Caenorhabditis elegans: one gene and its partner. The protein of the gene in region 1 purifies or fractionates together with the protein of each later gene. This does not show direct contact. Each region holds a gene or a part of one and is shown in the gene's direction. Other genes may lie near its edges. The genes, in order: rml-5 and F52B11.2.

Region 1 (5,874 bases):
AAAATTGTGATTTTTTACAAAAATCGCCCATTTTTGCCACTTTTTAAAATTTTTTGACGGGTTAAACCTAGATTTTCTGAATTCAGCATATATGAATTACCTATTTTCAACAAATTTAGACAACTTTTTATTTTTGCCCAATTTTTTTGTTCCAGTTTTCGCAACAATTTACCAAACCTTAAAATTTGTTATCAAAAGTGATAATTGTTGCGGTTTTCTTTTGATCTCTTATCACTGTTCATATTATTTCCCATACTTTATTATTCTGTTTTTTTTTTAATTTTAAATTTCATATTTCCATGAAAAATCATTCATTATTCAATCTACACCTATCTGAATGTTCGGTCGTTTTCGCAAATATGCCACGTATCGATTGATTTCTCTATTCTACGTGTATGTGATGGCTCTTTACTCATTGCAAGTTGATGATGACCTCGATGATAAGGATAAGGATAATTAATTTCGAAAAAAAAAAGTTTTCTTTTTTTGAATAAAGCTAATTTTTTACTTTTTTATGAATCAGTACTAAAAAAAATCTGGAAAATTATGGCCCAAATCAAGAAATTTCCAAAAATTAACGTCTCCGGAAACTTGTTTCTCTTGTTAGGCTCCGCCCATTTTTTAGGCCAAAATTTGAATAAAAAATTGTCAAAAAAAATTTGCCGCGAAGATCATTATTTATATATTAAAAAATATTATGAATTGATACTGGTATAGGGTTAGTATGGGGATATGGTCAGTGTACTGTAGTAGTACTGTAGGGGTACTGTATGAGTACTGTAGGATTACTGTAGTTTTGGAAAAATTGACTTTTTGTCTTTTGAAGAGATATTGGTTTGAGGTTAGTAGGGGGTATAGCCGGGGTACTGTAGTAGTACTGTAGGGGGTGCTGTAGGAGTACTGTAGTTTAAGAAAAAATTTAGTTTTTTTTTTTCAAATTCAAATTTAATGGGAAAATTTTTTGGTGGGAATTAAAATCTTCTGTGATAAAATTTTGGCTGAAATTCAAATTTTCTGAGAAAAAAAACAACTTTTTTAGAAAAATCTGGAAACTTCTAGAATTTTCTAAAAATTGAATTATAATTTTTCAGACCAAACTGGCGACTAGAGTGGCGACTAGACTGAAAATTTTTCAGAGCGACTTTTTTGCAGCTCAAAGCTGTGCTCCCACTTGGTTTCAGTCCGTCAATACGGTTTGATCTACAAAAAATGCGGGAATTTTTTTGCCCAAAAAAATGTGACGTCACTCTTAACCATGCAAAATCAGTTGAGAACTCTGCGTCTCTTCTCCCGCATTTTTTGTAGATCTACGTAGATCAAACCGAAATGGGACACTCTGCCACTGATTTTTTTTGCACCAGGGGCCTATTTAGAATGGGGTTTTTTTTCAAACGAATTAGGTTTTATTTAGAAGTCTGGAACTTAGTTAAAATATATTTTATTTGGCCCTTGTAAGTTTAAGTTTTTCAGAATTTTCAGAACTTTTTGAAAGAATTTTGGCGCGCGAAACTTGAATGCTGTGGTTTTTCATGCTACGTGGCTGCAAAACTTCTATTGTCGCAGATAGAGTATACAATCAATGTCCTGGATCTATCTCGATTTCATTCGCATGTCTCTCTGCGGCTCTCATCTACCAATACTCTCTCACTTCTATCTGTTCGTTGCGATCTCTGCGCTGCCGTCCTTGACCGCGATATGTCATACAGAAACTGTATTCATTCTCGACTTTCTATTTTTTTTTGTTTTGGAGAATTTATGTTCATCTTAAAATTAATTTGGTTTTTGAACATATTGAGGAAACGGTTTTTTGAAAAATAATTTGCTTTTTTTAAAAATTTTTTTCCCAAAACACATTTTAAAAAATTAATTTTAAAAAATTTCTTTGACAAGCGACACGCGGTTCTGGCTTCCCTCATAAATTGAAATGGAAGAATTTGCCGAACTAGGCCAGGCCATATCCGGGGTAGATTTACGGCGCGTTGCGTGTCGCGTCGCGGCTTGATTTCAGTTGTAAAACTAAATGTATTCGTTCGTGTGGAGTGCACGACTTTCCCAGTCCGGCAGGCAATTGTCAATGGAGCGGGAAAAATTTAATGAGGAAGGCCAGAACCCCGTGAAGCGACACTCCGTTGCTAGGCGTTGCAGATTTTTTGTTAAACCTTCGAAATTTCAGTGAAAAATGACCGTTTTGATTACCGGCGGGATTTCAAAAATATCTACTCAACTTGCGGAGGCGGTGCTAAAAAACGGAAGAAATGTGGTTCTTCTGCACAATAATGAGGCGGTAAGTGGTGGCCTACAAAATTTTCGAAAATTAATTTTTAATTATCGAGTAGTATAGGATTTTCCAGCTGGCCGAGAAATCCTTGTAATGGCCTTAAAAGTTTAACGTTCCTATTCCGGCAATTGGTAATTTCGGCAAATTTGCCCAAATTTGTCCAAATTGCCGGAATTGCCGGAATTGCATTTTTAGGCTCCTAAATCTACAAAAAGTATGAAATTTTTATTTCCGGCAATTCTGGCGATTGCAGGTTCTCAAATTTTTCAGCAATCGGCAATTTTGGCAATTGCCGGTTTTTTGAATTTTCGGCAATTACCGAAATTGCCGAACAGCGAAAATGGTTCCCATTGAAAATGCTAGAGTGGCCTAGAAATTCTCAGGTGGCCGAGAAATTTCATGATGGCCTAATTATTTCAAATTTCTCTTCCAGATTCCAACAAATCTGATCAATAATCCATCGCTCACACTTATCAATTTATCATCAATCAACGAGGAAGCAATCAAAAATCTAATCGAAAATTACAAAATCCAAACAATTTTCGACGCATCTCTCACCACAACTGATGTGCTCTTGGAGCCAATTCAAGGAGCTAAGAAATTGATTCTGGTAAGGTTTTAGTAAACATGCTCTATTGGCAAACATTGGGTGTACTCCACGTGAAAATAGAGAAATTTCGAATTTCGTAAAGTCAGAAATTAAAAAAAAAATCCAGAAAACTCCTGGGAAGTCAGAAATTATCAGAAAATTTGGAATATTTTTTTGAAAAATAAAATAAAAATTCCAGAAGTCCACGTGGTGTCAGGCTGTCCCATCACGGTTTGATCTACAATAAATGCGGGATTTTTCCCCCAAAAATATGTGACGTCAGCACGTTCTAAACCATCTGCGTCTCTTCTCCCGCATTTTTTGTAGATCTACGTAGATCAAGCCAAAATGAGACACTCTGACACCACCTGAAAGTCCGAAATTTCTAGAAAATGTTGAATGCTTTAAAAAAAATCAGAAAATTCCAGAGGTTTCTTTAAAAAAAAGGTTGAGAAAAATTGAAAAATTTATATCTTTTCTAAAATTCTAAAAAAAATACAAAAAAATATTTTAAAAATAAATCAACATTTCCAAAAATCTTTGAACAATTTAGAAAATTCACGAAATTGCAGAAATTTTCAGAAATTTCAAATTTTTTTGAAAAATTTCCGTAAAAGCACGCGCGCTCAGTTGACAAACCCCTAGAATTAAAAAAAAATCAATATTTTTTTCAGGGAATCACGTCAATCCTCGATGCAATCCGTAAATCCGCATCCCCACCATCTCTGGTTCTCATTAGTGGTGACGAGGTGTACGGTAGGGCGAAGAATCGTGTCGAGACCCAACCTCTAGAGCCGGTCACATTCATCGGCTCAGCTCAAATGTCCGTTGAAGCAATGGCTCACAGCTATGCTGTCAGTTATCGTATTCCAATGGTCATCGGAAGGGTATCCGATGATTTATCGATTTCTGACGCGACACGTGGATTATTGGCAATTGAAAAGTTGGCACAAAGCCAAAAACCAGCGGAGGTCTACAATATTTCGGCTTCTTCAGCTGAAAAAATTCAGAAAGAAACGAATTGGAGCCCGTCTGGCTCTGTAAAGGAACAGGGACCCATCGAAGAAGTTTTTAAGCCAATTTTCTTAGTTTTCGGAGCTAATTCGGAACTGAAAACTCAATTTTTGGAGCTGCTAAAGCTGGAGGGACTGGTTTCCAAGGTTTGATCTCAAATTTTTGTATTACGGTAGCCACAAAAAAACACCATACTTTACGACAATTTGCAGAAAATATCTAAAAATTACGTCTTTTGTATTACGGTAGCCTCAAAAAAAAAAACACCATACTTTACGACAATTTGCTGCTCCAGGGGTAAAACTAAGCGGGAAATTCAAAAAAAGTGTCTAAAATTCGTTTCTAAATTTTTAAAACTCTCAAAAAGTCAAAACTTAACTAATTTCCAGGAATCCACAATCACAAATCTGCAAGAAGCCACTGATAAATCGGTTATCGATGAGATTAACACAATCAATCCATCCCATTTGGTTTATTTCGGAAATGAAACCGGTAAGTGACTTGGTGGCTGAAGACAGTGGCCGCAAAAAGTTTTTAGGCCATGAAATTATATTTTTTGGTCGGAAATGCTTTTCTTTTTACGCTAAAAAAATCAAAAATGCCAAAAAACAATTTTTTTTGGACTTAAAATTTGTCTCAAAATTCAATTTCACGAATCACGGGTTCTGGCCTTTCTCATTGAATTTTTCGCGCTCCATTGACAATCGCCCGCCGGAAAACGTGTGGGAAAGTCGTATACTCCACACGGACAAACACATTTAGTTTTACAACTAAAATCAAGCCGCGACGCGACACGAAACGCGCCGTAAATCTACCCCAGATATGGCCGAGCCAAAATGGCCTAGTTCGGCAAAAACTCTTCCATTTCAATTTATGAGGGAAGCCAGTGGCCGCAAAAAGTTTTTAGGCCACGAAAGAATCTTTTTGGTCGAAATTTATGTCAATTTATGCTTTAAAAAAATTCAAAAATGTCAAAAAAAAAATTTTTTTTGGACTTAAAATTTGTCTCAAAATTCAATCAAAGCTTTTTTCGCTAAAATATTTTTTCACCGAGAAAAAAATTCTGGGCCAAAAAAAAGCTTTTTATTTCAAATTCCAGACTCATTCGAAGGCGACTGCTTCACTCTCCGTACCAATATGGCGACTAATCTCTATTTTCCATGGCTTCTCGCAAGTATTGCCGAAAAGTTCTCCCTACACTTCACCCATTTTGGAAATACTTCTATGAGCCAAGAGTCTTCAGCTCTTGCCGTTAAAGGATACACTGGGAAAATGTTGGAATATTTCGAAAAAACGCTCATAATTGGACAGAAAATCGATAAAAACGTGCTGGAATCGATTAAGGCATGCAAGACTGGAGGACTTAATAATAATATTTAATTATTGAATTTTTGCAAATTATTTTTGAACTTAAAGCATTCCTTTTTCTGCGATTTTTTCAATCAATAAATTTTGAAATTAGTGTTGTACTGGCAAATTGGCAAAATGCCGGAATTGAAAATTTCAGGCAAATCGGCAAACCGGCAATTTGCCGAAATTGGAAATTTCTGGCAAATCGGCAACCCCGCAATTTGCCAGAATTGAAAATTTCCGGAAAATCGGCAAATCGGCAAACCAGCAATTTGCCGGAATTTAAAATTTTCAGCAAATCGGCAAACCGGCAATTTGCCGGAATTGAAAATTTCCGGAAAATCGACAAACCGGCAGATTGCCGGAATTTAAAATTTCCGGCAAATCGGCAAACCGGTGAATAGCCGCAATTTGAAATTTCCGGCAAATCGGCAAAACTGGCAAATTGCCGTAATTTAAAATTTCTGGCAAATTACCAGAATTGAAAATTTACGGCAAATTAACGGAATTGAAAATTTCTGCCAAATCGGCAAACCGGCAATTTACCGGAAATGAAAATTTCCGGCAAATCGACAACCCGGCAAATTGCCGAAAATGACAATTTCCGGCAAATCGGCAAACTGGCAATTTGCCGACTTTCCGA
Region 2 (3,743 bases), on another chromosome or scaffold:
GCAATCTCATTCGGAGCACCGGAGAAGAATAACGACATGTTTTATTGTGAAAAATATGATTCGCGAACGAATTCTTTCTGTAAACGGCTGAAATCTCTGTGCCCAGAACATCGAAAACTGGGCGATGAACAGCATTTGAAAGTGTGCGGTTATCCGAAGAAATGGGAAGATGGAATGATTGAGACGGCGAAGACAGTTTCAGAATTGATTGAAATGGAAGAGTTAGTGGAGAATTTGGAGAATTTTTTGATGGCCGAGGATCCGACAAGAGATTTAGAGCTTTTTTTGCTCGTTTTTGCGTGAAAAATTGTGAAAAAATGACCGAAAAAAAAGAAAAATTCGGGAAAAATAGCAAAAAAATCGCTGAATCTTGTCAGATCTTCGACCGTGGCCGAGAAAAACCTCGGCCATTCAGCAAATAAAATTGCAAATCAATCAATTTTCAGCCCATTCGGTGAGGAAGGCTGTCGAACGAAGAAGGACGCGTGTCACAAGCATCACAAATGGATACCATCGTTGAGAGGAACTATTGAGCTGGAACAAGCTTGTCTGTTTCAGAAAATGTATGAGCTGTGCCACGAGATGCACAAATTGAATGCTCACGCCGAATGGACAACGAATGCTCTGTCGATTATGATGCACAAACAGCCGAGTACGGAAAAATGCTCATTTTTTCTGCGAAATTTTGCGATTTTCGCGCCAAAATTACGGTGGCCGGTCTCGACACGACAATTTTTTGTTGGGTGCAAAAATGTGTGCGCCTTTGAAGATTACTGTAATTTCAAATTTTGGTTTTTTTTTAACTTTTTTATCGGAAAACTATAAAAATCACTGGAAATTCCGCTGCAACTAAAATTTAAAGTTCCAGTAATCTTTAAAGGCGCACAGATTTTTGCAGTTAGCGAAAATTTGTCGCGTCGAGACCAGGCACTGCATTTTTCGCACAAACTGCCCCGTGTCGATTTACGGGAATTGTGTACTCCCCGAGGAGAAGTTTGAGAATTTTACAGTTTTTGTCGAAAAGCTTGAATTTGGACCAATTTCTCTAATTTTTTTTGTATTTAACGGTCAAAAAGCCGAATTTGCTGTTAAAAGCAACTGAAAAAAATTAAAAAATTGGCGATTTCACCGTTAAATATGTTATTAATCAGCAAAAAAAATTCAAAATCTGGTTTTTCCAGGGAAAACCGCTTCTGCTCGAGGAGTACACGAGCTCCGTAAATCGACACATATCCCGTGTCTGAATGAGAAAATCCTCAAAATTTCACAGATTTTTAAATCTAAAAATGAAATTTTACAGATATTATTGATTCCGAGCAAATGTCCCTATTCAACAAGTCCCAATCCACGTCATCATCCGCCTCGGCTCACGGAGCAACGACACCAATCAGCTCAACATCATCATCATCATCATCATCATCAAAAAACGATGATGAAATGGAAGATACCGCCGAATTTCTAGCAAATCTGGCTGTACAGAAGGAGGAGGAGACGCAGAATAATTAAAATTTCCCTATTTTTTTTAGTTTTTTCCTCAAAACTATCATATTCTTTCATTTCCGTGGAATTTCGTATCTTTTTTCCAAATCTGAACAACATTTTTTTCTGTTTGAATAGGTGTCGTCCTGAAATATGGCGGAGAGAGAGAGAGTGAAGAGACGCAGACACTCTAACGACACGTTGCGTATATTACACGAAGCACTGGCTTTTTCATTCGTTGTTCTTCAAAATTTTTATGATTTTTATCTTTTGAACAAAAAACAAATTGAACTTACCCTTCTTTATATTATTATTTTATTTATTTTCTTCTAGTTTTCCAAAAACCTTTTTTTGTTCTATTTTTTGTTTCACCCAATTTCTCTCTATCGGTGTTCTTCATTTTGATCCTCAACTATTCACTCATCTCTCTTTATACATTTTGGTCTCTCTCTCGAAGAAAATTGACATTAAATGTATTATTTTCCATTTTCCGAATTTTTCAACAAAAAACTTTTATTCCAAAAAAAATCCTTAAAAAATTTAAAAAAAAACACCAAAAAAATTTTTCAGATGACTTCTCCAGCGAGTAGCCGAACAATTTTGGTGTTCGACGTCGATGGAACACTCACTGCTGCTCGTCAGGTTAGTCTGCGAGATTTTTGCGATACGGTACCTGGGTCTCGACACGACAATGCGCCTTTGAAGAGTATGTCGTGTCGAGACCAGGCGCCGTTTTTGGGGGGCAAAATTTTGCTTCTACATCTAAATTTAAAAAACCCCAACATTTTCAGACTATTACGCCTGAAATGCGAGAATTCCTGATCGAGGCTCGCAAGCGTGTCCCGCTGGCAATCGTCGGAGGATCGGACTTTAAGAAGATCACAGAGCAGCTGGCAGATCACGATAAGGATTTGTGTATGTCTTTGCTAATTTTTTTTTTTGAATTACAAATCCTAATTTCCTCATTTTTTCCAGTGCTCTCCCTGTTCGACTACACATTCTCGGAGAACGGGCTCTACGGATTCAAGGGCACCGAACCGTATCCAGTACAATCAATCCAGAAAGCCATCGGCGATGCGAAGCTCCAAGAGCTCATCAATTTTGCTCTCCGCTACATGTCTGACATTCAACTTCCTGTGAAACGTGGAAATTTCGTCGAATTCCGAAACGGGATGATCAATTTGTCGCCTATTGGACGGAGTTGCTCACAAGAGGAACGAATGCAATTTGTGGAGTTTGATAAGAAGCACGGAATTCGCCAAAAGTTCACCGAGCAGCTCCGCGAGAAGTTCGGGCAATACGGGCTCCAGTTTGCAATCGGAGGACAAATTAGTGTTGATGTATTCCCTACTGGATGGGATAAGACCTTTTGTTTGCAATATTTAGTGCCAGATTTCGATACAATTCACTTTTTCGGAGATAAAACCGCGCCTGGCGGAAACGATCATGAGATTTTTGCCGACGAACGGACTGTCGGACATACTGTTGAAGGGCCAGAAGATACTCGGAAACATGTGGAGAATGTGCTCAAGGAGTTGGATTAAGCTTAAATTATATTCTTTTTGTTTTTCTAGTTAAATATTTATGTAATTCTAAATACTAGTATTTATTTATTGTGATCCTTTTCATTCCCACTGGTTTCTTTTTTTTGGATAAACCGCAGTTCATTTTTCTGTGAAATATGAATAGTTTATGAAATCGAATTTGAACTGCCTGGAATCTAGGCCTGCCTACGCGCCTACACGGCGGACATGATGCCTTGTAGGCACGCCAAAAACTAGAATAAACTTACAGCGATCTTGGCTGATATTCTGATTATCCAAATTTACCAATTTAATGGGGTTCCAGGTCTCGACGCGACAATTTTTGTTATATACAATCAAGTGTGCGCCTTTAATGAGTACTGTAGAATTTTTTTAATCGATTTTTCAATTTTTAGATTAAAATAAATAATAACGAAAACTACAGTGCATTTTTTTTCCACTTCTACGACTTTAAAGGCGCGCGCATTTATACAAAATGATCCCGTCATTGGTCTCGCCACGCGCTCAACAAATCAATGGGATGCGCGTTTTTTTTAGTCGTAGAAGTTGGAAAAAAATGCACTGTATGAAAAATCAAGAAAATTCTGCAGAAACAAAATTTTGAAGTTACAGTAATTTTTAAAGGCGCACACCTCTTCGCAGTTAGCCAACATTTGTCGTGTCGAGACCGGGCACCGTATTTTTAGAGCAGCATTTTCTAAATTTTTCATTTGCAGATAA

The links.
Region 2: the proteins of rml-5 (region 1) and F52B11.2 fractionate together in Caenorhabditis elegans (co-fractionation; one large-scale study listed by BioGRID). This does not show direct contact.

Annotation. Positions count from the first base shown.
Region 1 is NC_003279.8:1,791,081-1,796,954, forward strand, and holds rml-5 (NAD(P)-binding domain-containing protein), read left to right. Parts: upstream 1-2,173; 5' UTR 2,174-2,179; coding exon 2,180-2,284; intron 2,285-2,711; coding exon 2,712-2,888; intron 2,889-3,541; coding exon 3,542-4,027; intron 4,028-4,270; coding exon 4,271-4,373; intron 4,374-4,980; coding exon 4,981-5,261; 3' UTR 5,262-5,344; downstream 5,345-5,874.
Region 2 is NC_003282.8:14,081,519-14,085,261, forward strand, and holds F52B11.2 (putative phosphomannomutase), read left to right. Parts: upstream 1-2,049; coding exon 2,050-2,121; intron 2,122-2,270; coding exon 2,271-2,394; intron 2,395-2,454; coding exon 2,455-3,023; 3' UTR 3,024-3,177; downstream 3,178-3,743. Other genes in the region: cfp-1 (CXXC-type zinc finger protein 1), read left to right, coding at 1-221, 447-652, 1,301-1,506. UniProt on the Caenorhabditis elegans protein: Involved in the synthesis of the GDP-mannose and dolichol-phosphate-mannose required for a number of critical mannosyl transfer reactions.